Linked DNA regions of Macaca fascicularis. The protein of the gene in region 5 interacts with the protein of the main gene of each other region in a pairwise test. Links are inferred from orthologs where the notes say so. Each region holds a gene or a part of one and is shown on either strand. Other genes may lie near its edges.

Region 1 (3,997 bases), on a different chromosome or scaffold from region 5:
AGCAATAATAGATCTTCAGAGTAATGCTTTCTTAAAGATAGTGCCCAGATTTGGACATTATGCCCAGGTGTAACCTGACCATTGAAGAGGATAAGTTCAGCCTAAGATTGCAGCCTCATTCAGGTTTTGAACTGAACTCATTCAGCCTTTGGGTGTTCACAAGGTTGTGCTTGTAGCCAACTAAAATAAAATCTAAGGTATTTTGATGTAGAGCACTACTGAGCCACATCCCCCATTACCAACTTGTATTGCTAGGTGTTTCGGCCTGAGGGAGGACTTCACGTTTATTCCTATTAACTAGATTTTCCTCCTTCCCTGGTTCTTTGGCATTTGCTCAGCTCCTTCTCCTACGCTGTATTTGAGGGAAAGGAAGCCAAATGGGTAGAATTGGGCCATAATGAGGATGTGTTTGACATGCTGGATTTGAGTCTGTGTTCCATTGAAGAAAAGAAATGGAAACTTTGTTGAGTATCCATTCTGTACTAGGCACTTTCCTTGACTATTTCATTGAACACTCCAAGGACCCCTTGAGGTAGATGTTATGGCCGATTTGCAGAGAAGAAATCTGCATTTTTATTTGAAGTTATTAAACATGGGTAAATGACCCAATTTTCTGCTTTTTGCTTAACAATAATTTGCAAACATTTTATCATGTTACTTCATGTTTCCCTTTTTTTCTTTATAAATAAATACATACTCCCTCCTTATTCTAAAAAGAATTTGAAGCACTTCTGTCTTGATGTTTATCATTTTAACGGTTGTATAATATCCCATTAAGTCACCCTAATTTACTCAACCAGTTTCCTACTGTTGACAGTTTGGCTCTGTTTACTTTTTGTGGTTTTCAAATTTTTTTTCTGTAGTAAATGATCCTCCTAAAAAACATCTCCGCATGAATGTTATTTTGTTCTGGAAATTTCCCCAAGCATGGAATACTGCATTAAAGGGGATATTTTTGGTGTTTCTTTATAGAGACTAGCAAATTGCCCACCCAAAGGAGTATGCTTTATTTGAGGGTAAAAAGCCAAACACACACACACACACACGCAAATGGTTTTCTACAAAAGAAATTAATTTTCCACTTATTCATAAAATATTCTAGTGCTGTGATGGGTGGCAGGCACCTTGCCAGGGGCTAGGGACAAGGATAAGCAAGGCCAGGTCGGGGCCTCCAAGCAGCGAGCTGTGGAGTCGGGTAGAACAGGCGCCTGGCTGCAGCCAGGGAGGATCGCGCGCCCTTTCGCGCAGGAGAGTGGAAGCAGGGAGCTGTTTGTCAGCACCGAGGTAACGCTTGACCTGAGTCTTGCACAATAAGTAAGAGTTTGGGCACGCGATTTGTATTTATTTTATTGTGAATCTCTGGCCTTATATCAGAAAAAAAAAAAAAAAATTGTGCCACCCTCGGCACAGAGAACGTTGGTGGCGTCGTAAGCCCTCTAAGTCTCTTTCCATCGCCAAGGAGTAGGGGTCCGGGAAGAGGACCTCCCCGACAGCAGGCAGCAGGAACAGGATTTGGGAGCCGGGAACCCCTGGCTCGGCACGGAAGAGGGCAGGAGAGGACCTGAGCGCGGGGCTCACCGTCTGCTGGGGACCCGAGCCGGCGTGTGGCCCTCGGGGAACGGAAGACGCGCCCTCAGCGACCCTGAAGAGTCAGCTAAGCTATCTGCGGGCTAAGGAGACGGTGAGGGAACGGGGACTAACTGGGGTGGGGGTTAGAGGGCAGCTCGCGAGTGGGCTCCAAGGGGAGCTGGGCTCAGCAGTCCGGGACCCCGAGGGGGCAAGCGGGCGGGGAGCACGAGAGGGGCGGAGCTCCGGGGCCAGGGCCGCCGCGGCTGCCCAGAGGGTCTGCGGGGGCTGCTGCGGCCGGTCCCGAAGGCGGGCGCAGGGAGTGCAGTGAGCCATGCGCACCTCTCCGAGACCGTGACCTTCGCATAGGGAGCAGGGTCCGCGCGCCGTCCTGAGATCAGACACAAGCCCAGCCTCGTGAAGACCCACGGCCGAGGGGCTGGAGCTGCCTCTGTGCGAGGGAGCCCTGGCCAAGGCGCTGGTAGGACCAGGGAACCCGAGGAGGGCGGGCGGAAAGCGCCCCCAGTGGGGGAGGGGCCGTGGCGGGGTCTGGGGGCCAAGGGCTCGGGGCCGAACGAGGGGCACACGCCGGAGCAGCTCCAGCCTGGGAGCATTGGGCGTGAACGTGGGGGAAAGTAGGGACCACATTATAGGATCAAGGCTTTCCCCGGCTCAGAACTGGACTGTTCAGTGTCCCCTAGAAGGGGCAGCGGGTCACCTACGCCAATGAACGGGAGTGCACACCAAAACGCCTGCTGTCGGTAGTTTCTTGTGCCTCTGCCTTGCTTCTGCCTGTGATGTAGTCAGAAAGGACTCGCTCTCCATGTGTTAACAAGGGGACAGGTAGCTTCACAGAGTGTATGAATATGGAGGGGAGGGCCACGGCGTCAGCTCTGGCCCCAGGGGCCGTCAGTGTCCCTGCAGAATTCCTGGTCCAAGCCGCCAGAATTCCTTGGGGACTTTGCTTCAGTGGCATCAAATTAGACTGTCAGTTCCCGGGGCCTGATCACCAGCCTCCGTATGTATTTCCTGGGGAGAAAAAGCATACCAGACTGATGGAGTCTTATCATTATTTTAACATTATAGCTTTCAATAGATAACATGCATATATTTATTTTTTAAGTCAAATAATACAAACATTTATCTTCTAGAGGCACTGCCTGCACTAGCATGTGTCTATTGCTATCTCCTTTCTATACTCATAGCCTTTCACACTCTACATGTTCTGTCGCCGTCTTTTGATTCTTTAGCCAGAAAATGATGTCACCACCACTGCCCACATCCTTTAATCTCCAGTGTTCCTTCTCGCAACGCCTATCTTGTCCTCAAATGTTTTTCACAAGGTGTTCCTCAGGGTAGGGAGCCCACTAACGAGAAGACATTTCATTTACTTGCTTCAACTATCCCAGAGATCTGAAGAAAAGGCACATTGGGGAACAGTCCATGACAAGTTCTAAACACACCTATCTTTCCCCTTAAACTGGATCTTCCAAGTGCAGTTTAGGTAGTCTGTTATTGAGAGGAAATAATGCAGGCTGTTTTCTGAAATGCTCTGGATTTCCAGAACTTAACACCACAGCAGTTCCTATTCCTTAAAACAGAACTTCATCAGTCACACCTTGCTGTTGCTTTTCCCGTCTCCACTCCAGGATCCCCTAACTGGTCTGCCTAGGATTTTTTCCTCTGTAGGAACCTGGGACACCGGGTGCTTTATACCTGCCTGGGAGGTGTTCCATGAAGGGCCTGAGGGACAAAGCTTTGTGGTGGACAAGGTGGGAGGGGAAGATGTAGGGGAAGTTGGAGGGGAAGTAGAAAGGAAGAAGCAGGCCAAGACCCTTGAGTGCAGAAGACTCCTCAAGCACAGAGCCCTGTCATTTAGGAACAGTCCCCATATAATTTGCTAAGAGACCACACATGCAGGTTACTTCCTGCCAACAATCAGTACAGTCAGCTCTGTTTCAAGACTTCTATGTTAGGCCAAAACATAGTAAGTGAAAACAATCAGCAAATCAACCAGTTTTTGTCTCTATGATAAAACAGAGTGGTTGAAACTAAATTAATTTAAAAAATTTTTTTACTGAATTAGCGGGTTCTTTAGGAGCTGTGTCCATTGTTTAAAATCACCTAATAGGTACTCCAGTCTCCACATTTTTCCTTTATTTTGTTTATCTTTTCATATTGCATAACCTTGAACTGGATCCCAACCATGTCAGAAAGTTCAGGCTGATTAGAAGCTGCCGCTTCTAAGACTTTTTGGTGGGAGAGAGTGGGGAGGAGAGGATGAGAAAATAATGACTGATCCTTGTGATAGGGTAGGTGTATAATGAAGAGGAAGAAGTTGACTACAAGTTTGAGACTGGTGAGGAGTCGCATATAATTCTTAAGGTAACAGGGGAATGAGTAAGAAGTAAACAAAATTGTTCATCATTCA
Region 2 (3,500 bases), on a different chromosome or scaffold from region 5:
CACATGCACACACACGTATTTGCACAGTCTCATTAATTTTTTTTTTTTTTGAGACGGAGTCTCGCTATGTCGCCCAGGGTGGAGTGCAGTGGCCGGATCTCAGCTCACTGCAAGCTCCGCCTCCCGGGTTTACGCCATTCTCCTGCCTCAGCCTCCCGAGTAGCCGGGACTACAGGCGCCCACCACCTCGCCCGGCTAGTTTTTTGTATTTTTTAGTAGAGACGGGGTTTCACCGTGTTAGCCAGTATGGTCTCGAACTCCTGACCTCGTGATCCGCCCGTCTTGGCCTCCCAAAGTGCTGGGATTACAGGCTTGAGCCACCGGGCCCGGCCTACAGTCTCATTAATTAATTCAACAACAAAACACTATACTGAGATAACCAAGGGAGAATTCTAACCTGCCAAGCTGGGCTGAGCAGAGCCTGAAGGATCTGATCGGGCACCTGTCCGTGTCCCTGGGTCTGACTGGGGACGGTGGGGCTGCTTTTGTGCTCTCACTTGTAGCACAAAAAGCAGGGTAGTGAGCTGAGGCTCCCGAGGGGACAGGGGTGGGGTTGAGGTGGTGTCTGGCATTCTGTGGCCGCTGCCTCACCTCACTCTCTCCAGAGCCCCGGCTGTGATGGGATCCTTGGCTCTGGCAGGCGTCCTGATGGCTGTGGAGTCTGTGGGGGTGATGATTCTACCTGTCGCCTTGTTTCGGGGAACCTCACTGACCGAGGGGGCCCCCTGGGCTATCAGAAGATCTTGTGGATTCCAGCGGGAGCCTCGCGGCTCCAGATTGCCCAGCTCCGGCCTAGCTCCAACTACCTGGGTGAGCACCCAGCTGCCTCCCTTTCACTTCCATGTCTGTTCAGCCCTCCATACCCCCACTCAGTGCAGTGAGCAAGCCAAACGGGGAAGTCCAGGGTCTGGCCCCTCCCCTTGTGGAAGGTGTGAGGAAGCTGAGAGGGCTTGGGGGGCTCTTAGGTTCTGGTGGGAGCTTCTATAGGCTGAGGACACAGTGTGGGAGGAGGAAAGTATTATCACCCTGGAATTTCCCAATCTCTCACCTCTGACCTGCAGCACTTCGTGGCCCTGGGGGCCGGTCCATCATCAATGGGAACTGGGCTGTGGATCCCCCTGGGTCCTACAGGGCCGGCGGGACCGTCTTTCGATATAACCGTCCTCCCAGGGAGGAGGGCAAAGGGGAGAGTCTGTCGGCTGAAGGCCCCACCACCCAGCCTGTGGATGTCTATGTGAGCCTGGGGCCAGGGGCAGCTGGATCCTGGGGAGGGAGGCTGTTCTCTCTAAGGGCAGAGCTGTGGTTGTCAAGATGGGAGATAGAGCTGGTGGCATCCCCCTCTGGCCACCCCCAAACATTCATTATCTTCTCTTCTCCCCAGATGATCTTTCAGGAGGAAAACCCAGGCGTATTTTATCAGTATGTCATCTCTTCATCTCCTCCAATCCTTGAGAACCCCACCTCAGAGCCCGCTGTCCCCCAGCTTCAGCCAGGTAAGACTCTGACCCCTGCACTTGGAAGGAGGAGGGAGAAGCTGCAGGGGTGGCTCTGGGGCAGTGGGGTGGCATCTGATTCACCTGCTCCCCTGCACAGAGATTCTGAGGGTGGAGCCCCCACTCGCTGTAGTGCCCCGCCCAGCCCGGACCCCAGGCACTCTCCAGCGCCAGGTGCGGATCCCCCAGATGCCCGCCCCGCCCCATCCCAGGACACCCCTGGGGTCTCCAGCTGCGTACTGGAAACGAGTGGGACACTCCGCATGCTCAGCGTCCTGTGGGAAAGGTGAGACATTGCACCTTGGACCAGCACCTCAGTCCAAGCCCCCCAACTGACACTCCTGATCCTGCATCCGGGATAGTGGGGCCACGCCCGACCCTGCATCTGGGACACCACTGAGCTTGGGCTCCAGCCTCCTGCCTCCCTGGCTGCCTTCTCACCCACTCAGGTGTCTGGCGCCCCATTTTCCTCTGCATCTCTCGTGAGTCGGGAGAGGAACTGGATGAACGCAGCTGTGCCGCGGGTGCCAGGCCCCCAGCCTCCCCTGAACCCTGCCACGGCGCCCCGTGCCCCCCATAGTGAGTATGGCCCACGGGGAGGGTTAGGGTACTGGAAACACAGCAGTTGCCCCCAGAATCTTACCTGAATTCTGCACTCAACGCGACATCTCCTGGCTGCAGAGAGACAACATTAGATTAGAAAGGCGGACATTCGGTAGGCAGCAAGAAAGCCATGGCAGGCTGAGCCCCCCAGGAACCCAGACTCCAAATGCCAAACGTGCCCACTCTCCTCTGAGGCCCCCATGTCCAATGTGTCTTCCATCTCCCCTGCCATGGCAGCCCCACATATCTCATCTGTGTCTCCATCTCTTCCGTGCCCTGCTGGTGCCTGCAGCTGGGAGGCTGGTGAGTGGACATCCTGCAGCCGCTCCTGTGGCCCTGGCACCCAGCACCGCCAGCTGCAATGCCGGCAGGAGTTTGGGGGGGGTGGCTCCTCGGTGCCCCCCGAGCGCTGTGGACATCTCCCCCGGCCCAACATCACCCAGTCTTGCCAGCTGCGCCTCTGTGGCCATTGGGAAGTTGGCTCTCCTTGGAGCCAGGTGAGTGCGCCCGGGCAAGGTGCCGGGGAGGGGATGGGCACCGGTGAACAAGAGCAGCGGTTTTTCAACTTCTTTTTCATCAGCAGAAACTATTTACAAACAGGGTTTCATATGGACCCCCAATATAGAAGTCAGATAAGGGACTGAATCAGGGATTGGGGGCCCGGGGCCCTAGGGCTCAGCCTCCTCCTCAGCCCATGAAACCATGTGACTGCTGGGCTGGGGATCGAAGGCAGAGCCTGGTTCTGAAGCCCTAGAGCTGGAGGCTGGCTGAGAAGCCCAGCTCCCTGGATTCCCCTCGCCCCCTCAGTGCTCCGTGCGGTGCGGCCGGGGCCAGAGAAGCCGGCAGGTTCGCTGTGTTGGGAACAATGGTGATGAAGTGAGTGAGCAGGAGTGCGCGTCAGGCCCCCCGCAGCCCCCCAGCAGAGAGGCCTGTGACATGGGGCCCTGTACTACCGCCTGGTTCCACAGCGACTGGAACTCCAAGGTGAGCCCCGAACCCCCAGCCATGTCCTGCATCCTGGGTGACCATGCCCAGGACACCTCAGCCTTTCCAGCACAGCTCAATAAACTTGTATTGATCAAGTGCCTGCTATATGCTTGACGCTGGGAACTCAGAGGTAAGTGAGAACAACTTCCATGAGGGGCCCAGTTAGGATTCCCCGTCCAGGCCTGGTACCTGGGGACGTTCCCTACCGCCCAGGATTCGGACCCAGGATGCATCCCTCCCTGCCCCCTCTCCTGTCCCTTGTGCCAGTCACCAGCAGGCCCCTCACGCAGGCCGCTCTCCTCCTCCGCAGTGCTCAGCCGAGTGTGGGACGGGAATCCAGCGGCGCTCTGTGGTCTGCCTTGGGAGTGGGGCAGCCCTCGGGCCAGGACAGGGAGAAGCAGGAGCAGGAACTGGGCA
Region 3 (4,019 bases), on a different chromosome or scaffold from region 5:
GGACTTGGAAGATGTAATTAAATTAAAGATCTTGAGATGATGAGATTATTCTGTTAGGCGCATTGTAATTACAAAGGATCCTTAGGAAGGTAGTAGGGTCAGAGTCAGAGAAAGAGATATGATGATAAAGCAGAATCACAGGGGAAGAGCTGAAGATTCTACCCTGCTGGGTTGAAGATGGAGAAAGGGGCCACAGGCCAAGAATGCAGGTGGTGGCCAGAGGCTGATGAAAACAGAGAAACTGACTTTCCCCTAGAACCTCCAGAAGAAATGCAGCCCTAGTGACATCTTGATTCTAGCCCAGTGAGATTTCTGACCTACAGAATTGTACAATAGTAAATTTATGTTGTTTTAAGGTGGTGATCTGTGGCAAGTTGTTACAACAGCAATAAGAAACTGACATAGGAGATAGAGAAAGCGTGTTGGATTAGGGCAGTCAGTTGAGAATTTTGGATATTATCTTAAAGCCAACAAAGAACCACCAAAGATTTTTTACTAAAAACAGATATAATGAAAATGATGTATTAGGAGGGTAGACTAGAAGTTGGGTTCAGACTGAAGACAGAAAGATAAGCTCTACAGTGGTGTGCATGGATAAGTATGGTGATTAGTACCCAGGTTACAAATGGACTCTGTTAATTGATAAGAAGTTTCCAAATCTGAAAGAGATTGCTAAAGAAGAGCCTACAGAATATAATGACTGATGGGGAATCAGCAAAGGAAAGCAGTCCAATTTCAGATGCCTCATGTGTTGTGAAATGGGCATAAAACACACAAGGGTTCTAAATATTTTAAGTCTCTTCCTGGATTCACCAATGTATATTTCACCAACATATATATGAAATTGTAACTTGCTAAACTTCTCTGTTACATCAAGTTTCACTCTTGTCTTTTTAGAGGATATGCAAACCTCATTTCATCATTTCTACTCTAGAGACTGCTTATTTGGTAGAATGAAATAGGTACAACTCAAATAGTTAGTAAACTACTGTATTCAGATTTTGCACAAAAACAACAAAATACAATCTAAAAACAATTCAGTTGGAGAAGACTCATAGGTTAAGTATGTGTAAAGAGTAGTGGCAGTAGCTGGTAAGTTAAACTACTCACTGGCTATAATGCTGTTCAGCAGTTGCCACTGTTTGGATTATTGGACATTTCCTGAGTAGTGGGAAATGTTTGGATGAAAAGCCAGTAGCTCATTATTAACTCTCTTTACATCACCTCCCTTCTGAAAAAAGCTTTGCTTGCTGATAATCAACTTCTAAATGATCTTCATAAAAGTTAACAATGCTTGGACATCTAAGGCAGGTCTAAACTGGCTGGCTCTACCTTGTTTTTAATGGTAAAAATGCTAAATTAACTAGTACTAATAACCATGCCAGCAGTAAAAACACGGAACAATTGAATATCAATGATATGTTAAAGCCAGCTGTTAATTATCCCATTAAAAAGATGATTTTCTTTCACACAGAGATTCTATCGATACTTTCCCCCCACCTCCTTCCATTTTTCACCATTTCAACTTCCCACCATCCCAATCAGTAACTGGTAAAAAAGATCTGACCATGAGTTAATTATTGGGAAAATCTTAGAAAATACTATATTTCGACCTTTTCCTAAATTGGATACAACTTTGCATTTCCACTATGTTTTTAAGTCCCCTCCTTAAAAATACACATTTATGTACAAATAACAATAGTATATTTTGCATCTTAAAAGTAGACTGCACTGTGATATTGACAGAGAAAATGTTCACCATTCCTTTCTACGTTTCAAAATATCCCTCCTCTTGGATGCTGACATAGAAACATCATTTTGGAACAAGTGGCAGTTTTGCCTTGCATCCCTGTTTTTTCTTGTTCTGCATGGGAAAAAAGTCTGAATAGTAGACAGCAAGAAAATTCAATAATGTCCACTCTGGAACAACCCGAGGGTAGGAATTTTGCGTATGTATCAGGCGCCCTATAAGCATCACCCTCTCATCCCATGCCATAAAAAAGGGTGGAGGGGAGGAAATATTCAGCGAAGTCCTAAAATACAATGTGTATTGTAAAAACAACTTTAATTTTAAAAGTCAATTCTACTTTGTAAGTTTTCAGTGCTGCTTCACTCCTACTCCTAGGGTGAAGGACTTTGGAGAGACACCAAGACTAACTCACATCAAAACCAGAACGCGAAACTCCTGCCTGCTCCGTAGCCTGGAGTGCCCGAAAGTGGAAGGGCACTCTCTCCTATCTGGCCCATGGCTCTGAGGACCTCCCTCCCCGCTCCAAGCCCCAAGCCCGCGAATCGGAGATGCTCAGAGAAAAGCGAGTTGCTCACCAGTGAGGAGCCAGCAGCAGGCGACAGCGACCCCTGGGCGGGCGCGGGGCCGAGGGGCCATGGCCGGAGCGGCCTCAGCGCCAGGGGGCCGCGCTGGTTCGCAGGACAGGACCTGGCAGGACCGGGCGCGGGAGCTGCGCGCTCTGGCCGGGCCACTCAGCCCGCTGCCGCGGTTCCCAGTCCTCTGCCCCAGTGGCAGCGGCGTCCAGGAGCGGGAGAGGAGTGATTTCCTGTGTTTTCGTCGAATGCCTCTAAGTGCGCTCCACGCTTTTCACATCCCAGACGGATTGCCACATCGCCCGCCCCTGCGCGCTCTTGATCTCTGAAATCTCACTGGCAGCTTCCCAGGCTCTGTCCGAGACATGGACAAATAAAGCCAGCTTCGCGGGTCCGTGTTTAGGCTAAAGTCCACGGGCTGTAGAAGCAAACCTTAAAGGGACATCTGCCTTTCATTGAGAGGGTGATCTCGTTCTCCGGGCCAAATCCCCTAAGGTGGTAGGAAGGCGGGTAAGGGCTGGACTTCGGGAGGGTGTCGCCAGCCAAGTGGCTCCGCCTTCACACCCCTGACTTCTCCCGGTCCGGGTAGCGAAGGAGCTTTGGCAGTACCTGGGCGCCCTTAACGGGAGGCAGCTTTCCGAGGTCCATTACGCAGAGGGATTAGGCCGTCTGTGAAAATGAGAGGATCTGGAATCCCCCCTTCCATCTCCTGCGGACACTTGAACTTCACCGTGAAGTCGTTTTGCACGAAAGGGGGCGTCCCTACCACCCCGACAGGCTCCACTGAGGGCTTTGCTTTCGCTTATTGGGAGCCGGGGTGTGGGGAGGCTTTGCTTAGTTTATGGTAATTCGTGGTTAAACGGTGGTTGCAGATAAGCTTTTCTTTGAGATAACTATGATAAAGGAAGAAAAGGAGAAGCAAGACCGAGGAAAAACAGAAAGAGGGAGAGAGAGAAGAGAAGAGAGGAAGAAAAGCAGCCTCTTTTGAAATGGAATGTGTGTGGGCTATTTTGTTTAAGTGAATTAGGATGTTTGTACACTGGTAATTGAATCTAATAAAGAACTCGGGGCACTGCTTTATTTTTTTCTTGCTTGAAACTTTTACGAGTAAAAATTCGTTAAGAGTCCAGACCTGCTTAGGAAGTAGCAATGCTTCCCTTTCCTGGTGAGTTGAACAACCTGGCTGAGTCAAAAGCCATATTCGTGCTAACTTCAACCAATGCTTGCTATTTTCAAAATAGCTGTGTCTTAGCGGTTTGGAGAGTTTCAAAGAACAGAAAAGATGAGTGGATTTGTGTTTAGAGGAATCTGAGGGGAACAGTTCAATTCAATTCACTTCAACTCAACAACTAATTGAGCATCTCTATCTAACAGAACTAGGGCTAGGCAGGACAAGAGTGCCACCCAAAGGAGGGTTCGTTGAGCAGAACACAACACAGGTAGCACAGAACAGGTAACACGAGGGACAGGAAGGAAGAAACCCACAGGGATCACTGGATACACTGCCAGTTAGAGGATCGCAGCAACTAAAAGCTGGAGAAGACAAAAGCTGAAGAAGTTTAAGGAGGGTCAAAAATGGGGTGGGCAGACCCAAGGAAGTTGAAGGCCATCAGATCTCAGTATGTTGACCCATTAGTCAAGAAATTCCTTTTCTATTATGTATCTGAACTGATTCACTATTTAGTGAATACATTAAA
Region 4 (3,500 bases), on a different chromosome or scaffold from region 5:
CAGCCTCCCAAGTACCTGGGATTACAGGCATGCACCATCACACCTGGCTAATTTTGTATTTTTAGTAGAGACAGGGTTTCTCCACGTTGGTCAGGCTGGTCTCAAACTCTCGACCTCAGGGGATCCGCCTGCATCGGCCTCCCAAAGTGCTGGGATTACAGGCATGAGCCACCTCACCTGGCCTAAATTAAACTCTTCTTAAGAGGTAGGACCCCCTTGGCTCGTTTCCTCCAGTTATACCTAGGGTAAGGGCAGGGCATTCTCCATGCTCCCCTTTCTCATCCTTAACAAGTCAAAAAAGACCAAGATTCCTGCCCAACTTAAAAAAAAAAATGAAAAAAAAATTTTGCTTTTTGAGACAGAATCTGGCTCTGTCACCCCAGGTTGGAGTGCAGTGGCACAATCTTGGCCCACTGCAACCTCCACCTCCCTGGCCCAGGCAATCCTCCCACCTCAGCCTCCCAAGTAGCTGGGACTACCAGCATGCCACCATACCCAGCTAAATTTTGTAATTTTTTTTCCTAGAGACAGGGTTTGCCATGTGCCCAGGCTGGTCTCAAACTCCTGGGCTCAAGTGATCCATCTGCCTCAGCCTCCCAAAGTGCTGAGATAACAGGCATGAGCTGTGCGCAGCCCCAACTAGAATTTGGGAGGATGGGGTTGCCATGGAGAACCCAGTCTTAATTACAAGGACTAGAGAAATTTCTGCCTCCTCCCTTCCTCAGCTTGTCCAACAGTCAGAACTCTCTTCTCTCTCCTTCTTTCTCTCCCTCTCTCCTCTTGGTGCCTGTTGGACCAGGACTTCCTGACTGAAACTGTAGCAGGTGGGGGGAAGGGTGGCCAAAAGGGCAACATTAGATTCAAACCCAAAGCCTAAAAATAACCCCACCAACTTCTTCAGGAGGCTCTCCTGGCCATCCCACCATGTACACCCCAATGCTCCACCCAGTGTAACCGGACCCAGGCAGAGAAGAGGGCTTTTGGCTTCCTAAAGTTAGATATGAGCAGCTCAGCACTTTTACTCTGCTCCTGTATGAGGACCAATGACAGACACTTCTGCCCCCGGCCCCATGCAGGCATCTAATTCCACTCTCCCCCAGACACTTAGAGAAAGTGGAGAAGGAAGAAAGGAAATGGAGAAGGCCCCTCTTCCTCAGCTATACCATCCTGTGCCTGGCCTCTCTCCAGTCTCCTCTTTCTTTGGAGAAGGAGCCTGACTAGAATATATCTTGAAGGACAGTTTCAGTCTCACCTGGGGCTCCTTAGGGAATAGACTGACCCTTTAAATGAAAGAATGGCTTAAATGGGAGATGGCTGTAGAAACTCAATTAACTCTTTCTAGGGTTGCCAGATTTAGCAAATAATATAGAGGATACCAATTAAATTTGAATTTCAGATGCACAACAAATATATATATTTTTTTGAGACAGAGTCTCTGTCACCCAGGCTGGAGTGCAGTGGCATGAACATGGCTCATGTTCATGCAGCCTCTACCTCCCAGGCTCAAGCCATCCTCCCACCTCAGCCTCCAGAGTAGCTGGATTACAGGTGTGTGCCACCACACCCAGCTAACTTTTTAATTTTTTAATTTTTTGTAGAGACAGAGTCTTGCCATGTTGCCCACGCTGGTCTCCAACTCCTGGACTCAAGCAGTCCTCCTGCCTTGGCATCCCAAAGTGCTGGGATTACAGGTGTGAGGTATCACACTTGACCCAAATACTTTTTTAGTATAGATATGCCCCAAATGTTGCATGGGATTTACTTATACTAAAAAATTATTCATTTGCATCTGAAATTCAAATTTAAGTGGACATCCTGTATTTTTATTTTAATGTCCCAAATATTGCATGGGACATATTTAAAAAAGAATTCATTGTGCATTTGAAACTCAAATTTAATTGGGTATTCTGTATTTTAAAATTTCAATTTAATTATTTGCCTTATCTTCTTTTTTTTTTCTTTCTTTTTTTTTTTTTTTTTTTGAGACAGAGTTTCACTCTTGTTGCCCAGGCTGGAGTGCAATGGCACAATCTGGGCTCACTGCAACTCCACCTCCTGGGTTCAAGTGATTCTCCTACCTCAGCCTCCTGAGTAGCTGGGATCACAGGCACCCACGACCATGCCCAGCTAATTTTTTGTATTTTTAGTAGAGATGGGGTTTCACCATGTTGGCCAGGCTGGTCTCAAAAGACCTCAGGTGATCCACCTGCCTTGGCCTCCCAAAGTGCTGGGATTACAGGTGTGAGAGCCACCATGCCCGGCTGCCTTATGTTCTTTCTAAAATATTTTTAAAACTTTATCTTTATGTCCCAAATATTGCATGGAGCATATTTTACTAAAAAATTATTCACTGTGTATCTCAACTTCAAAATACAAGACAAGACTGCCCCACTGGGCATCCTGTGTTTTATCTGGCAACCTATCTTTAACACTTACCCTTACTAGGAAGGAATTTTCTCCCTAAGGGTGTGGTATTCTCCAATCCTTCAGTGGCTCTTTGATGGAAACTGGGTTTCAGAGGTGGGCTGTAACTCACCCTGGAGCTGCTGAGGGCTCAATATATCTGGGAGTTTAACAAATTTATAAATTTCCAGGGAGGGGATGTTGACTGCATTTTGGAGGCTCAGGGCCTACTAACAAGCTGTCAGAACAGGCACCAGGCTTTGAGACGGTGATAAAGTTTCAGACTTACCATTGAGCTGTCAGAGAAAACATCAGGGTGGTTCTCATAAATAAACTTCTCCACCCTCATCTGCCGCAGTTTGAACATCTTGGAGCCCCGGTTGGTAAGCAGCGACAGTTCCTCCAACATCACATCCCTTGGGACACTGATCTTTTTGCCCAGGTTCAAGCCTGAGCCCTCCTGTCCACCTTTCAGGGAGGCAAAGAAGAATCAAGGGAAAGAGGAAAGTAGGGTTTTCTGGGCTCAGAATGCAGACCTCATCCACAACTAAGTGTGAATGTGTGTCCTGGCAGAGATCATTTAGGGGAACAAATGCTGTCTAGTTTGTGAGGGACTTTGATTTCCTGGGACTTGGAGAGAATGCATGGGAACTGGGGTGCATTGTGGAGATAATGGGAATACTAGAGTGGAGAGGCCAATGGGGTAAAAGAGGCATGGGCATGGGGTACAGAGCAAAAGGAGTAAAGGAACATCATAGATGGAGGCCATTGGAGAAAGCATGGCATCAGGAAAAGCCCAGAGGCCAATCTTATGTGGAGTGTAAATACAGATGCCATACATATACATATTTTTTATTTATTATTATTATTTTTTATTGTTTTGAGACAGAGTCTTGCTCTGTCACCCAGGCTAGAGTGCAATAGCGTGATCTCAGCTCACTGCAGCCTCCGTCTCCCAGGTTCAAGCAATTCTCCTGCCTCAACCTCTTGGGTCGCTGGGATTGCAGGCCCGCACCACCATCCCTGGCTAATTTTTATATTTTTTGGTAGAGACGGGGTTTCACCATGTTGGCCAGGCTGCTCTCAAACTCCTGAGC
Region 5 (3,500 bases):
CTGAGGTCAGGGCAGCTCATTGGCACAATCTGGCCTCCTTGGCTCCCGAGCTCCTTCCTAGTCCCCACTCACCTGTGATCTCACCCTTCTTGATGGTGAAGGGGATGACAAGGTCAAAGGGCCTCAGGCTGGTCATATCCAGCCCATTGACACCCACCAGGGGCCTCTCTGGGGCCTGCAGTGGAGACACAGGGCATGGGTGAGGGGCCGTGGGAAGATCTGGGGGTCCCTCCTCACACATAATAAAATAGGGCCTCACAGAACACCCAGCTGGCTAGCCCCAGTGTCCCTAGCTGGCTAGGCGTACCCAAGTCTGCTGACCGCCCTGGGCGTAGGTATACTGTGGGGCCAGCTGCTGAGACCGTAGCGGGGGCTGCACCGAGGGCTGGTCCCCAGCCAGAGCCTGCAGGGCAAAGCAGAGAGCTGCTGGAGAGTCTGTTGTCACAGAGGGGCCCCAGGGGAACAGGCCAGGACCTGCCAGACGCCCCTGCTGACCTACCCCCCACCCCTCCTCACCGTCACTTGGAAGGGGCTGTTGGGCACGTGCTCGCCACCAAAGCGCACACAGATAATGTATTTGCCCGGCTGGGGGGCCGTGTAGAAGATGTCAAAAGTGCCGTCCTCATTCTCCACCACGTCCACATCTACCTCTGAGCCATCAGGCGTGCACACGGTGCATGTCACTTTGCCTTTGCCTGCTGCCTTAGTGTCCACGGTGATCACCGTCTCCTCCCCAATCTGGATGGTGGGGCCGATGCCAGCACCTGGTGGGGCAGGGTGGGTCCCCAAAGGGGGGCCAGTGTGTGAGCTTGGGCTCAGGTTGTTCCCATCCGCCTGCTGCCCACACAGGCCTCTCATTGCCACCACCAAGCACAGCCAGGCCTTGCCCCTCAAGCTGGGATGGCGAGTGGTTTCTCAGAAGGCAGGAAGGGTTCTCTTGACCACCTCAAGTGCCCGTGTGGGAGGGGCCCGACGGTAGCACCCAGGTGCCTGGGAGGAAAAGGAAGGGCCCACTCCAGCCTAAGTGTTGACAGCCACTCCCTTGCCTACTCAGCCTCATCCAGCACCACGGCCCACACTGCTGAACGTCAGCATCTGGCTGGGTACACGGCTGCCTGCACCCCTGTGGCCTGGCCCCGGCCCCCATTGCTGTGTGTGGACGCGGTGAGGCAGAGTCCTGCTGCAGCGTGGGGGGACGTGACACTTGCCTCCCCACCCCCCAGGCCTGATGGTGAGACCAGAGTTTCCTGACAACTGAGAAGGCTCGCGGTGAAAAGCAGCCCGGTGCAGGCAGGAGTGGGAACGGGGAAGCGGAAGGCAGTGGGGTTAGCACCCGAGTAGCGCAGTGCAGCAGGCTTGGCACAGCGGGGACAGCACCCAGGGAGACAGGGAACAGGAGGCCCAAGCTACAGCCACCACTGCTGGGTTGCAAGGGCAGAGCAGCTGAGCAGGCTCCAGGGCCCCAGAGTGCCCGAGGAAAGGGGAGAACAGTGACGTTATGATCTGGAGCTCTGCCGTGGAGGCTTGGGGGGCTGTGGGCTGTGAGGCCTGGCAGTGACAGTGTCCCCTGCAGCCTGGCCTCCTGCCAGGGAAGCAGCCAGGAACACGAAACCCACTTGAAGGCCAAGCTCGAGGGGCTCTGCCACCAAGTCCCGCTATCGGCCGAGGGCTCCTGCTGCACTAGGCTCCATGCTGGCCTGCTGCGGCCAGGCAGCTCTCCCGAGCTCCAGACCTGGCTGCCTGCTGCCCACGCTGCCCTGGGAGGCTTCATTCATGCCCACCCCATGACATCTAGTTAGTGTCTTGGACCCCAACCTCACAGGTACCCAACTCTCCCCACTTTCCCTGCCCAGCTCCCGGCTGGCCATCCGCAGGTCTGAGCCACTCCATCCTCAAAGTATGCCTCCTAATTTGGCTCTCACTGAAGCCCCCTGGCCACCAAGCTTGCCGGAGAGCAACTTCAGCACCGCCCCCCTCCCTGTCTCCATTCTGCAAACAATAGCCAGGGAAATGAGGTTACTGAGTCTTGCTCCCACCCCCAAAGCCCCCAAGGCCCTGCAATCAGCACTCCCCAGCCTCCCCAGCCCTGCACACACACGCCTGTCACATCAGATCCTACCTACGGCCTGTTCTATAAAGCCATCTCGCTCCTGCCGCAAAACTCTAGCCACCCTCTAACCCTTTCCTTAGCCACCTTGCCCAAATGCCAGGCCTGTAGCCTCTCATCAGCATTCCCGGGTGTCCCTGGCTGGGGCAGGTGACCCTCCATGCCTGTTGGGTAATGTCTGAATAACGTCACTGCTGGGAGATGGGGGAAGGGGGAAGGAGGGAGACGGGTCACAGAATGCACTTTGGGGCTCTGAGGCTGGGCCGGGCCCCGCCATGCTGGCTGCCCAAGCAGTCGATACTGGCGCTACTGCACTACCAGCCAGCCCCACCCGCTCATGCACCTCCCCCAGCCCGGGACGCAGAGGCCCCTAGAAGGTGGGGATGGGGGTCTGTGGATCTGGCCAGGGCTGGGGCTCCCACTGAGTCAGGGAGACCCCTTGTTCCCTCAGCCCACACAGGAACCCTTGTGCTTCCCTGGGTGCCAAGATCCCGAGACCCCAAAGTCCCCAGTGGGGTGCCTCTCAGGATGCACCTCACCCCAAAGCTCTCAGCTGCAACCCGAGTTCTCAGATGGGGAAATAAAGGCCCAGAGAGGGGGAGAGCCGGAGCGGTCATGCTCAGCTCCGGAAGCCTCCCTGGGCCCTCGCCCTCCAGCCCACAGCCTCATCTTCTGCGCCCCCCCCCCAACTCTGTCCCTGCCTAGAGCTGCAGCTGGAACTGTCCTGGGAATCGGCTCCAAGAGGAAAGGAAGTTGCCCCTCTGGACAAGAGGGGCATTGGGAGTGGCCCCAGCAAGCAGCTTACCTAGCCCGTGACCTCCGATTGACACTGAGGTGAGAAGGCAGAGAGCAAGGAGAAAGGTCAGGTGAGTCACTCAAGGGGGCAGCCCCCACTCCCACACGCCGCCCCAAGCAGCGAGCCCTTGCACACAGGCACAACCCAAGCCCCGTGCCGAGTGCCGCAGCGGCCAACGGCAGGCTGGCTCACCTGTGACTGTGCACTTGCTGGCGTCCCCGGTGGGCACGGCACGCACGCGGTACGGGGAGAAGGGGATCTCGTCACCACCATACTTGATGAGGATGGTGTAGCGACCCGTCACATCTGGCACATAGGCCACTGTATACGTGCCGTCATGGTTGTCTTGGATGTGTGTCTTCTTCGGCTTGCCTTCCGGATCCTGTGTGGCAGAGGCAGGGGAGGCAGCTGGCTCAAGACCAAGTAGCCCCAGGCCTGCCTCAGGCGCTCCTGGAAAGCGCCCAGCGTGGCTGCTACAGGGACAGCCTCTGGGCCTCAGGCCTCTCAACTGCTATGGCCCAAAGGGCTGCCTGCACCTGGCAGAGTCCAGAATGGAGACTAAAACATCCCACACTCCCCACATGACAATAGGCACAG
Region 6 (4,177 bases), on a different chromosome or scaffold from region 5:
GGTTTTTCTGTCTGTCTGTCCTGCAGAGCTTGCCCAGGTGTCCTGCTGGTCCCATTCCCCTTACCCACCACGGGTTCTTTAGATCTTCCTTCCCTGACCCCAGCCCCTGTACTCTGGATTAAGTGGGGGAGGCCATATCTGAAATCTGGGCAGGACAGGGAGTCCCTGGCCTGCTCTGGATAGAGTGGAGGGCCCTAGTTTGGGAGGATGGTCCACCTGGGGTCTGGGGAGCGTTGGGGCTGGAACCTGGGCTGAGATGTCCTGGGGCTGTTGTAATGGGGTTAGGAAGGCTTTGCTGGCAGGCGTGGGGCAGGGGGACAGGGAAAGGGAAGGGAGAGGCCCTCAGATTTTGATCTCCGTCCGGAAGGTCTGCTGGACGTGTTCTGTATGCGGGTGACGCCGTGCCCGGATGGTGAGGCTGCCGTCCTCCCGCAGAGCTGAGGTCACCGACGTTGGGTCCACGTCTTCCGGCAGCTGGCACTTGTGAGCGAAGGTGTTCATGACGGTGCCGTCAGCCGCCAGCTGGGGAAGGGGTGACCCATCAGGCAGGCTGCCCCGGTCCCTGTCCTGCTTGTGACAAGCTACAGCCCTCTTCTCCCTATTCTAACCGCAGCCAGGCCCCACATGCTGAGGGGCTCTGCCCTCAGGTGTGGAGGGGCTGCCCAGGGTGGTGATGGCCACAGGCCGAGGGCTCTGCAGGGACAGCACAGGGGTGCTCCACGGAGCTCCAGTAGTTCTAAGGGACAGGCAAGGGGCATGGGGAAGAGGTGGGGCTTAGAGAGAGAGGCGGCTCCATGGCAGCGGCTCAGCATCTGGGGCTCGTGGGGAACGCAGAGATGACAGAGGAGAGCCGTGCCTTCCTGGATCCCCAGACACATTGGGCATCTGCCCGCCGGAGCTGAGCATGGCCCCTCCCCCACAACTCAGCCAGCACATCGTGTCCAGGGGAGTTAGGGGCGGCTGAGTCACTGTTGGGGGTGGCAGGGCTGGCACGTGCTGCCCACGGGTCCTGGTGCCCCCAGTCCATGGCATCCCTGGCAGGGATGCCCAGGAGTCCACCCTTGAATGTGGAAGGGAGGAAGCCAGCCCCTGGGGGCTTAGGAGGAGGCCTGGGGCAGGTCCTCTCCTCTCTCCTGGCAGCCGTGGCTGTTCCTGGACAACGCCCCTCTTCAGGCCTGGCCATGCCCTCCCCAGGGTGGAGGCCCCAGTGCCTCTTCCAAGTTCGGACTCAGACACCCTAGAGACCCAGTGACCCTGAGACCTGTGGGCAGACGGTGTGTGTGGTTTGGAGTGTGTGTGACCCTAAACTGCAGGGTCCCTGCCCAGCCTTGGGCCTAATTTAGGAGTCCCAAGATGGGGGATGGAGCTCTGGCTATGGGAGGGAAGAGGGCTTGAGGTGTGTCACATGGAGAAACCCCTCCCCCACAGACCAGGTGAGTTCCCCAGCTACCCGCATCCACCCTCTACAGCTACCAGAGGAGCTGTCCTCACTCTGCCATCACCATCTCACGCCCGTCATCTCCCACCTTCAAGCCCCCCCACCTCAGGCTCCCTCTGCCCACATCTCTCCGTCCCTCTCCCATTCCCCAGAGGCTCCCTCAGCTGCCCAGGGCCCTGGAAGAAAGGATCTGGGAACCCTGGTGCAAAGAGAGGCAGTGAGGGGACCCATGGCCGTGGGCTACAGGCACAAGGCCTTCAATTAGCCCTGGGGGTGTTTGGGTGGGGAAGGGACACTGGCCAGGATCTGGAGTCCCAGGATGGGAAGGGGGAGTAGGAGGCATTGGAGCTGGGAGCGAATTTGGTCTGCGGTGGGTGTGGGGGGGGGCTCACCTTCTCAGCCCGCACCTCGATGTGGTTGTTGGAGGTGGTGACAATGATGTCTTCAGGCGAGAAGTCCCTCACATCCACTGCAAACTCATAGGCGTCTCCAAGGGTCTTGATGTTGCCTGGCGCCCCGGGGCGGGCTGTGGGGTGGGCTGCTGTGAGTGAGGCATGGAGCAGGCCTTGTGTGCAGATCCGGGGGTTCCGGCTCCTTCTCTTGGGGCAAGGGGCGGCTCCCCCAGGCTCTACCTCCCCCTGAGCTGTTTCTCCCTAAGCTCCTCCTCATTCCTACAGCCCACCTTTTCTGGGGTGGGGGTGGGACCTCACCCGACACAGTGTGTGTGTATATGAGGCTAGATCTGTAACAACCCCACCCCAGGCCTGGAGCCTGGGGACTGCCTCCCACCCCTCACCCCGTCCGGCCCTCCAGGGCTCCAGCTGGGACTGGCTGCGGTTCCAGAGCATGGGTGGCCATGGAACCATGTCCAACCCCCGGGGCCACGACTGTTCCTTAGAGGCCCACCTGTTTTCATGGCCACATCTGTCCCTGTGGCCACATCTGTCTTGGTGGCCACACATGGCTGCAGGCTGTGCAGCACCTGTTCCAGGCGGACCGGCAGCCACAGCCTGTTCCGTGGCGCCCTGGAGCAGATGTCCCCTCCCTGTGCGCCTCCCCTCCCCTCAGGGCCCGGATCACTTGCCTGGGAAGGCCAGGGGCTCCGAGTGTGGCCGCATGAAGCTGCCAAAGTCATCGGAAAACATGCTCAGGGCCTTCTCCATGGGTGGGTCCTGGGCCGGGAGGGCACGGGAGGCCGAGGAAGAGGTGGAAGAGGAGGAGGAAGAGGAGGAGGAATGGAAACTTCTCTCCGCTCGGAAGGTGGAAGAGGTCCTGTGGCTCATCCACGGGCGGCGCCGGGCCCTGCCCAGGCGGGCAAGGGCTGGACAAGAGAGGGTGTGGGCACAGGCCTCGGGAGAGCGTGCCGGGCCCCGACTGCGGCCGCTTTATAAGGCCGACTGTCCCTGGGCTTGGGGCCAGCCCCTTGTCTACTAGCTAAATTTAGGCCTCTCCATGGCCCAGAGGGGGCTGGAAATCTTCTCCCGTGCGCCGGCCCTGCTGACAGCCCGACACACGCAGGCCGAGAGGGCTGAGCTCACAGCCTGACATTCCAGGCCGGCCACAGCAGCCCCAGGGGCCTCCCCACCACTGCACAGGGCTGGATCCTGTCTCCTTGCCACTTGGACCTCGGTGCCTGCCCCAGAACCTTGCAAGTTTGGGGTTTCTTGTGTGTTTTGTTTCCCCCATCGGCCTGGGGGCTCCTGAGGACTGTGCCTCCCCACGAGACTCTGGTTCTCCTCCATGGCTGTGCCTCCCCCATCAGCGTGCAGGCTCCTTGGGGACGGGGTAGGTGGAAGCACCACTGCTGTGTGACGTCAGGAGTTCCTTCCCTCAAGGCAGACAAGCTTCACAGCCCATCTCTAAGGAAAGGTTGAGCCCTGCCAGGGGGTGTAGAATGTGCAGCTGTCCCCTGCCAGCCCCTACGGGGACCTGGATTCTATACCTGCACTCCCTCTGACTCTCAGAACATGTAGAGGCCCCAAGAGGACAAAGCCGGCAGCTTTCTCCTTAAAGGTCTAGAAGGTCATGTTCCTGACAGCTGTCTGCTCCACCCTGTGTCAGAGGTGATGCCTGCGACTGCCTTAGGTGGGATTTCAGTCAGAGGTAAAAGAGAATTCTGGAAGACAATTATTCTAGCCCTGACTTCTGGAGTGCCTTCTGGGCACAGGCTCCTGGCTGCAAGCTGTCTAAGTGTGGCCCCGTTTGATCCCCGCACAGCTGGGAGGGTGGAGGCGCTCTTCCCATGTTATGGAGGGGGAAGTGAAGCCTCTTGGAAAGGGCGGAGCTCGCACTTGCATAAGTGGCAGGGCTGGGATTCGAACCCAGGTGTGTTGGACCCAAAGCCCTTCAGAGGCTGAGGTGGTTTGAACATACGCCTATGGAGACAGGCTGGCCCGGAAGAGCCAGAGAAGCCCCTCCCTACCCACCTGCTTGCTCAGCAAAGCCAGGACTGACCTTGCGCTGGGCCAGGGTGGAGGCCATTCTGAGAGGCAGCCAGGCCCTCTGCTCTGCCCAGGTTGCAGTTCAGGGCCTCTGCTCTCCTCTCCCGTCCGGCCCTACCGTCCCAGATCAGCTCCAATGCCTCCTCCCACAGGGAGGCCTCTCTGACTGCTCCTGCTCACATGGGCCCACACCCGGTCCAGATGCCCCCAGCACTGACTGTCTTAGTCCTCCCACAGCACCTGGCAGTGTGACATGGTCTTCCTGTGTGCTGTGACTCTCTGCTGTGTCCCTTCTTCC
Region 7 (3,500 bases), on a different chromosome or scaffold from region 5:
GGCTAGTTTTTTGTATTTTTTAGTAGAGACGGGGTTTCACCGTGTTAGCCAGGATGGTCTCGATCTCCTGACCTCGTGATCCGCCCGTCTGGGCCTCCCAAAGTGCTGGGATTACAGGCTTGAGCCACCGCGCCCGGCCCATATTTGCTTTATTAAAATCCAACAAAATAGAGCATACTTTTGTTTTTTTATTTTCTTACTTTTTTATTTTTTTGAAAGAGTCTCACTCTGGTGCCCAGGCTGGAGTGCAGTGGCATGATCTTGGCTCACTGCAACCTCTGCCTCCTGGGTTGAAGCAGTTCTCCTGCCTCAGCCTCCTGAGTAGCTGGGACTACAGGCATGTGCCACCATGCCCGACTAAGTTTTGTATTTCTAGTGGAGATGGGGTTTCACCATGTTGGCCAGGCTGAACTTGAATTCCTGACCTCAGGTGATCTGCCTGCCTTGGCCTCTCAAAGTGCTGGGATAACAGGCGTGAGCCACCATGCCTGGCCTATAATTTTTAAAGATATATGTTCAATTAATGTTACTAACATCTCTAAGCTCTTAGGTATGAGATTCTGCCTTTATCTTGTAGAATTATAACCATCATTCTTTTTTACCTTTCAAATTTTCAGCTTTCAGAGAAGGGGAAACCTTATGTTGACATCCAAGGTTTGACTGCCTCTACCATGGAAATTTTATTGGACTTTGTGTACACAGAAACAGTACATGTGACAGTGGAGAATGTACAAGAACTGCTTCCTGCAGCCTGTCTGCTTCAGTTGAAAGGTACAGACATTAAAACTTGGTATTATTTATGTTGAAATAGCCCTGGAAAGATTGAAAATTAATAGTGTAAACTTAATCATGAACATTTTGGAGACAAACTATGGATGCTTATGTTTACTAGCCATGGCTTTTGTCTCATTGAGCAATAAGAGATCAGATGTCAATAGCACTATAAAGGAACTTCTCCAGATATGAGTATTTGGCACTATAAAAGAGAGCATTTGCACCTTTTCTGTTTTAAAAAAAAAAATGTAGGAAGGAGAAATTATGTGTTTTCTTACATACATGTATATAACACACCTATAAGGAACTATAATAAAAACTGATACTATACATAATCTACATGGATACTCTTTATCTGGCCATTAAGTGGTAGTATTTCATTAAGATAAATGAAATTTAAATTGATGCACAAAATATTAAAGTATGTTTTCACAGGATTACAGGTGGTTTGTTTTCCCTTACAGTTCCCAGGTTTTTTAGACTTCTTATTTTGTTTTTGAGACAAGAGTCTCACTCTGTCACCTAGATTAGAGCACAGTGGTACAATCACAGCTCACTGTATCCTTGAATTCTTGGGCTCAAGCAATTCTCCCACCTCAGCATCCTGAGTAACTGGGACCACAGGCACATGCCACCACACCCAGCTAATTTAAAAAAAAATTTTTTTGGCCGGGTGCGGTGGCTCAAACCTGTAATCCCAGCACTTTGGGAGGCCGAGACGGGCGAATCACGAGGTCAGGAGATCGAGACCATCCTGGTTAACACGGTGAAACCCCATCTCTACTAAAAAACACAAAAAACTAGCCGGGCGAGGTGGCGGGCGCCTGTAGTCCCAGCTACTCGGGAGGCTGAGGCAGGAGAATGGCGTAAACCCGGGAGGTGGAGCTTGCAGTGAGCTGAGATCCGGCCACTGCACTCCAGCCTGGGTGACAGAGCGAGACTCCGTCTCAAAAAAAAAAAAAAAATTTTTTTTTGTGGAGACGGGTTCTCTCTGTGTCGCTCAGGCTGGTCTCAAGTTTGTGGACTCTAGTGATCCTCCCACCTTGCTTCCCAGAGTGCTGGGATTATAGGCATGAGCCACCATTCCTGGTCCTCAGTTTTTTCTTTTTAAAATTCAGTTATGTTTTTGGTTTTTATATATACATAATTGATACATTTTTAGTTTTTAATACATGGTTTAAACAGTGTGAAGCTTTTGCATTAGTGCATAGTCATAAAATTAAAATACCCTGAACTTTTCAATTAGATGAATATGAGATTTGTTATTATCTTCTGCTTTTCTTTCACTCTAGTCTTTTAGTAAGTTTTCATGTAGAGTAGAAAAATGGGTACATTATGCTGAATTAGTAATTAGTTTTATAGTTTGATTCCCAAGAGTTTTGTAGGCATTTTTGTTGAATTTTGCCAGGTCCCTGGATGTGATTCATCTTGCAATATTCACTTTAAAGATTAAACAGAGACAGGTGTAAAGGTCTTGCTGAAAGTGGCGCAGTACATAAGCCAGAAATAGGGTTTTAAGTTCCTTAAGCAAAGAATTTCTCATCTGTTTCTTAGGTGTTGAAACAAGGGTTCATCTGATAACATGTAGAGAAGATGTTGAGATACAAGAATATAGACTAGATCACACCCGTCCAACTGTTCTAAAGTGTTTGCTTCCTGTGTCCGTCCTAGGTGTGAAACAAGCCTGCTGTGAGTTCTTAGAAAGTCAGTTGGACCCTTCTAATTGCCTGGGCATTAGGGATTTTGCAGAAACCCACAATTGTGTTGACCTGATGCAAGCAGCTGAGGTTTTTAGCCAGAAACATTTTCCTGAAGTGGTACAGCATGAAGAGTTCATTCTTCTGAGTCAAGGAGAGGTGGAAAAACTAATCAAGTGCGATGAAATTCAGGTACAGATTTGTCTTGATGTTATGGTTTCTTCAAGATTGGGCAGTTACAAAACTTGCAAAGTAGGATGCAGTTACTTACCATTAGGGCTTCATAATCAAGTGTGTATTTTGGCTCAAAGATTTCATTAACCCCTCCTGTACCAAATTTATTTGCATTTTTATGGAGTGGGAGTTTGCCACTTTCTTCAATTAGATATATGATCCGAGTGGGTAAGAATCACTATTAAACAGAGTATAGAATAAGCAGAAATTGGAAGTAAAGTAGATATCTGTAGACCACTTCTCTGTTACCCATTCACTCATTTCACAAACATTTACTGAGAATATCTACTATGTAGCAATTACTATGCCAGGTGCTACAGATCCCCAAATGGGTAAATATAGTTCTTGCTTTCAAAAAATTCACAACCTGCTAGTAGAGACAGAGATATAGACTATATATATGTATATAAAAAATAAAGAGGATAATAAGAATAATGAGCCTATACAAAGTAAGGACATTACGTAGAAGAAAGAAGAATAAACCTTTGCTCAGGAGTGGATCAAAAATGAAGAGACAAAAGTTTGGAAGTGAGGATCTACAGAAGCAGGAGCCAAATCATAACTGTCTTGTGAGGGCGCAGGGGATGGAAGGAAGGGACACGCAAACTGGATGTTAAAGGAATAGTAGGCCAGGCACAGTGACCTGTACCTGTAATCCCAGCACTTTGGGAGGCTGAGGCAGGAGAACTTCTTGAGGCAAGGAGTTTGATACTAGCCTGGGCAACATGACAAAACCTTGTCTCTACAAAAAAATAAAATTAGCCTGGCATGGTGGTGAGCACCTGTGGTCCCAGC

What was found.
Region 1: the proteins of FLNA (region 5) and CASR interact in a two-hybrid assay, tested with the Homo sapiens proteins (2 studies listed by BioGRID). The link is inferred for Macaca fascicularis from reciprocal best matches to the Homo sapiens genes FLNA and CASR.
Region 2: the proteins of FLNA (region 5) and ADAMTSL4 interact in binary tests that used the Homo sapiens proteins (3 or more experiments, as listed by UniProt). The link is inferred for Macaca fascicularis from reciprocal best matches to the Homo sapiens genes FLNA and ADAMTSL4.
Region 3: the proteins of FLNA (region 5) and PELO interact in binary tests that used the Homo sapiens proteins (3 or more experiments, as listed by UniProt). The link is inferred for Macaca fascicularis from reciprocal best matches to the Homo sapiens genes FLNA and PELO.
Region 4: the proteins of FLNA (region 5) and MYOZ1 interact in binary tests that used the Homo sapiens proteins (3 or more experiments, as listed by UniProt). The link is inferred for Macaca fascicularis from reciprocal best matches to the Homo sapiens genes FLNA and MYOZ1.
Region 6: the proteins of FLNA (region 5) and HSPB7 interact in binary tests that used the Homo sapiens proteins (3 or more experiments, as listed by UniProt). The two-hybrid records come from large-scale screens. The link is inferred for Macaca fascicularis from reciprocal best matches to the Homo sapiens genes FLNA and HSPB7.
Region 7: the proteins of FLNA (region 5) and KLHL12 interact in binary tests that used the Homo sapiens proteins (3 or more experiments, as listed by UniProt). The two-hybrid records come from large-scale screens. The link is inferred for Macaca fascicularis from reciprocal best matches to the Homo sapiens genes FLNA and KLHL12.

Annotation. Positions count from the first base shown.
Region 1 is NC_088376.1:161,062,895-161,066,891, reverse strand, and holds the start of CASR (extracellular calcium-sensing receptor), read left to right. Parts: upstream 1-1,197; 5' UTR 1,198-1,681; intron 1,682-1,838; exon of another isoform or gene 1,839-2,047; intron 2,048-3,997. UniProt on the Homo sapiens protein: G-protein-coupled receptor that senses changes in the extracellular concentration of calcium ions and plays a key role in maintaining calcium homeostasis.
Region 2 is NC_088375.1:110,694,268-110,697,767, reverse strand, and holds part of ADAMTSL4 (ADAMTS-like protein 4), read left to right. Parts: intron 1-605; coding exon 606-810; intron 811-1,061; coding exon 1,062-1,234; intron 1,235-1,381; coding exon 1,382-1,493; intron 1,494-1,593; coding exon 1,594-1,779; intron 1,780-1,942; coding exon 1,943-2,072; intron 2,073-2,388; coding exon 2,389-2,593; intron 2,594-2,903; coding exon 2,904-3,080; intron 3,081-3,393; coding exon 3,394-3,500. UniProt on the Homo sapiens protein: Positive regulation of apoptosis. May facilitate FBN1 microfibril biogenesis.
Region 3 is NC_088380.1:58,200,105-58,204,123, reverse strand, and holds the start of PELO (protein pelota homolog), read right to left. Parts: upstream 2,801-4,019; 5' UTR 2,387-2,800; coding exon of another isoform or gene 2,326-2,386; intron 1-2,325. Other genes in the region: ITGA1 (integrin alpha-1), read right to left, coding at 2,326-2,386. UniProt on the Homo sapiens protein: Component of the Pelota-HBS1L complex, a complex that recognizes stalled ribosomes and triggers the No-Go Decay (NGD) pathway.
Region 4 is NC_088383.1:72,731,765-72,735,264, reverse strand, and holds part of MYOZ1 (myozenin-1), read right to left. Parts: intron 2,872-3,500; coding exon 2,693-2,871; intron 1-2,692. UniProt on the Homo sapiens protein: Myozenins may serve as intracellular binding proteins involved in linking Z-disk proteins such as alpha-actinin, gamma-filamin, TCAP/telethonin, LDB3/ZASP and localizing calcineurin signaling to the sarcomere.
Region 5 is NC_088395.1:160,375,905-160,379,404, reverse strand, and holds part of FLNA (filamin-A), read right to left. Parts: intron 3,286-3,500; coding exon 3,096-3,285; intron 2,937-3,095; coding exon 2,913-2,936; intron 765-2,912; coding exon 517-764; intron 404-516; coding exon 308-403; intron 176-307; coding exon 73-175; intron 1-72. UniProt on the Homo sapiens protein: Promotes orthogonal branching of actin filaments and links actin filaments to membrane glycoproteins. Anchors various transmembrane proteins to the actin cytoskeleton and serves as a scaffold for a wide range of cytoplasmic signaling proteins.
Region 6 is NC_088375.1:219,086,677-219,090,853, reverse strand, and holds the start of HSPB7 (heat shock protein beta-7), read right to left. Parts: upstream 2,801-4,177; 5' UTR 2,722-2,800; coding exon 2,523-2,721; intron 1,980-2,522; coding exon 1,831-1,979; intron 523-1,830; coding exon 343-522; 3' UTR 1-342.
Region 7 is NC_088375.1:60,671,869-60,675,368, reverse strand, and holds part of KLHL12 (kelch-like protein 12), read left to right. Parts: intron 1-617; coding exon 618-771; intron 772-2,445; coding exon 2,446-2,663; intron 2,664-3,500. UniProt on the Homo sapiens protein: Substrate-specific adapter of a BCR (BTB-CUL3-RBX1) E3 ubiquitin ligase complex that acts as a negative regulator of Wnt signaling pathway and ER-Golgi transport.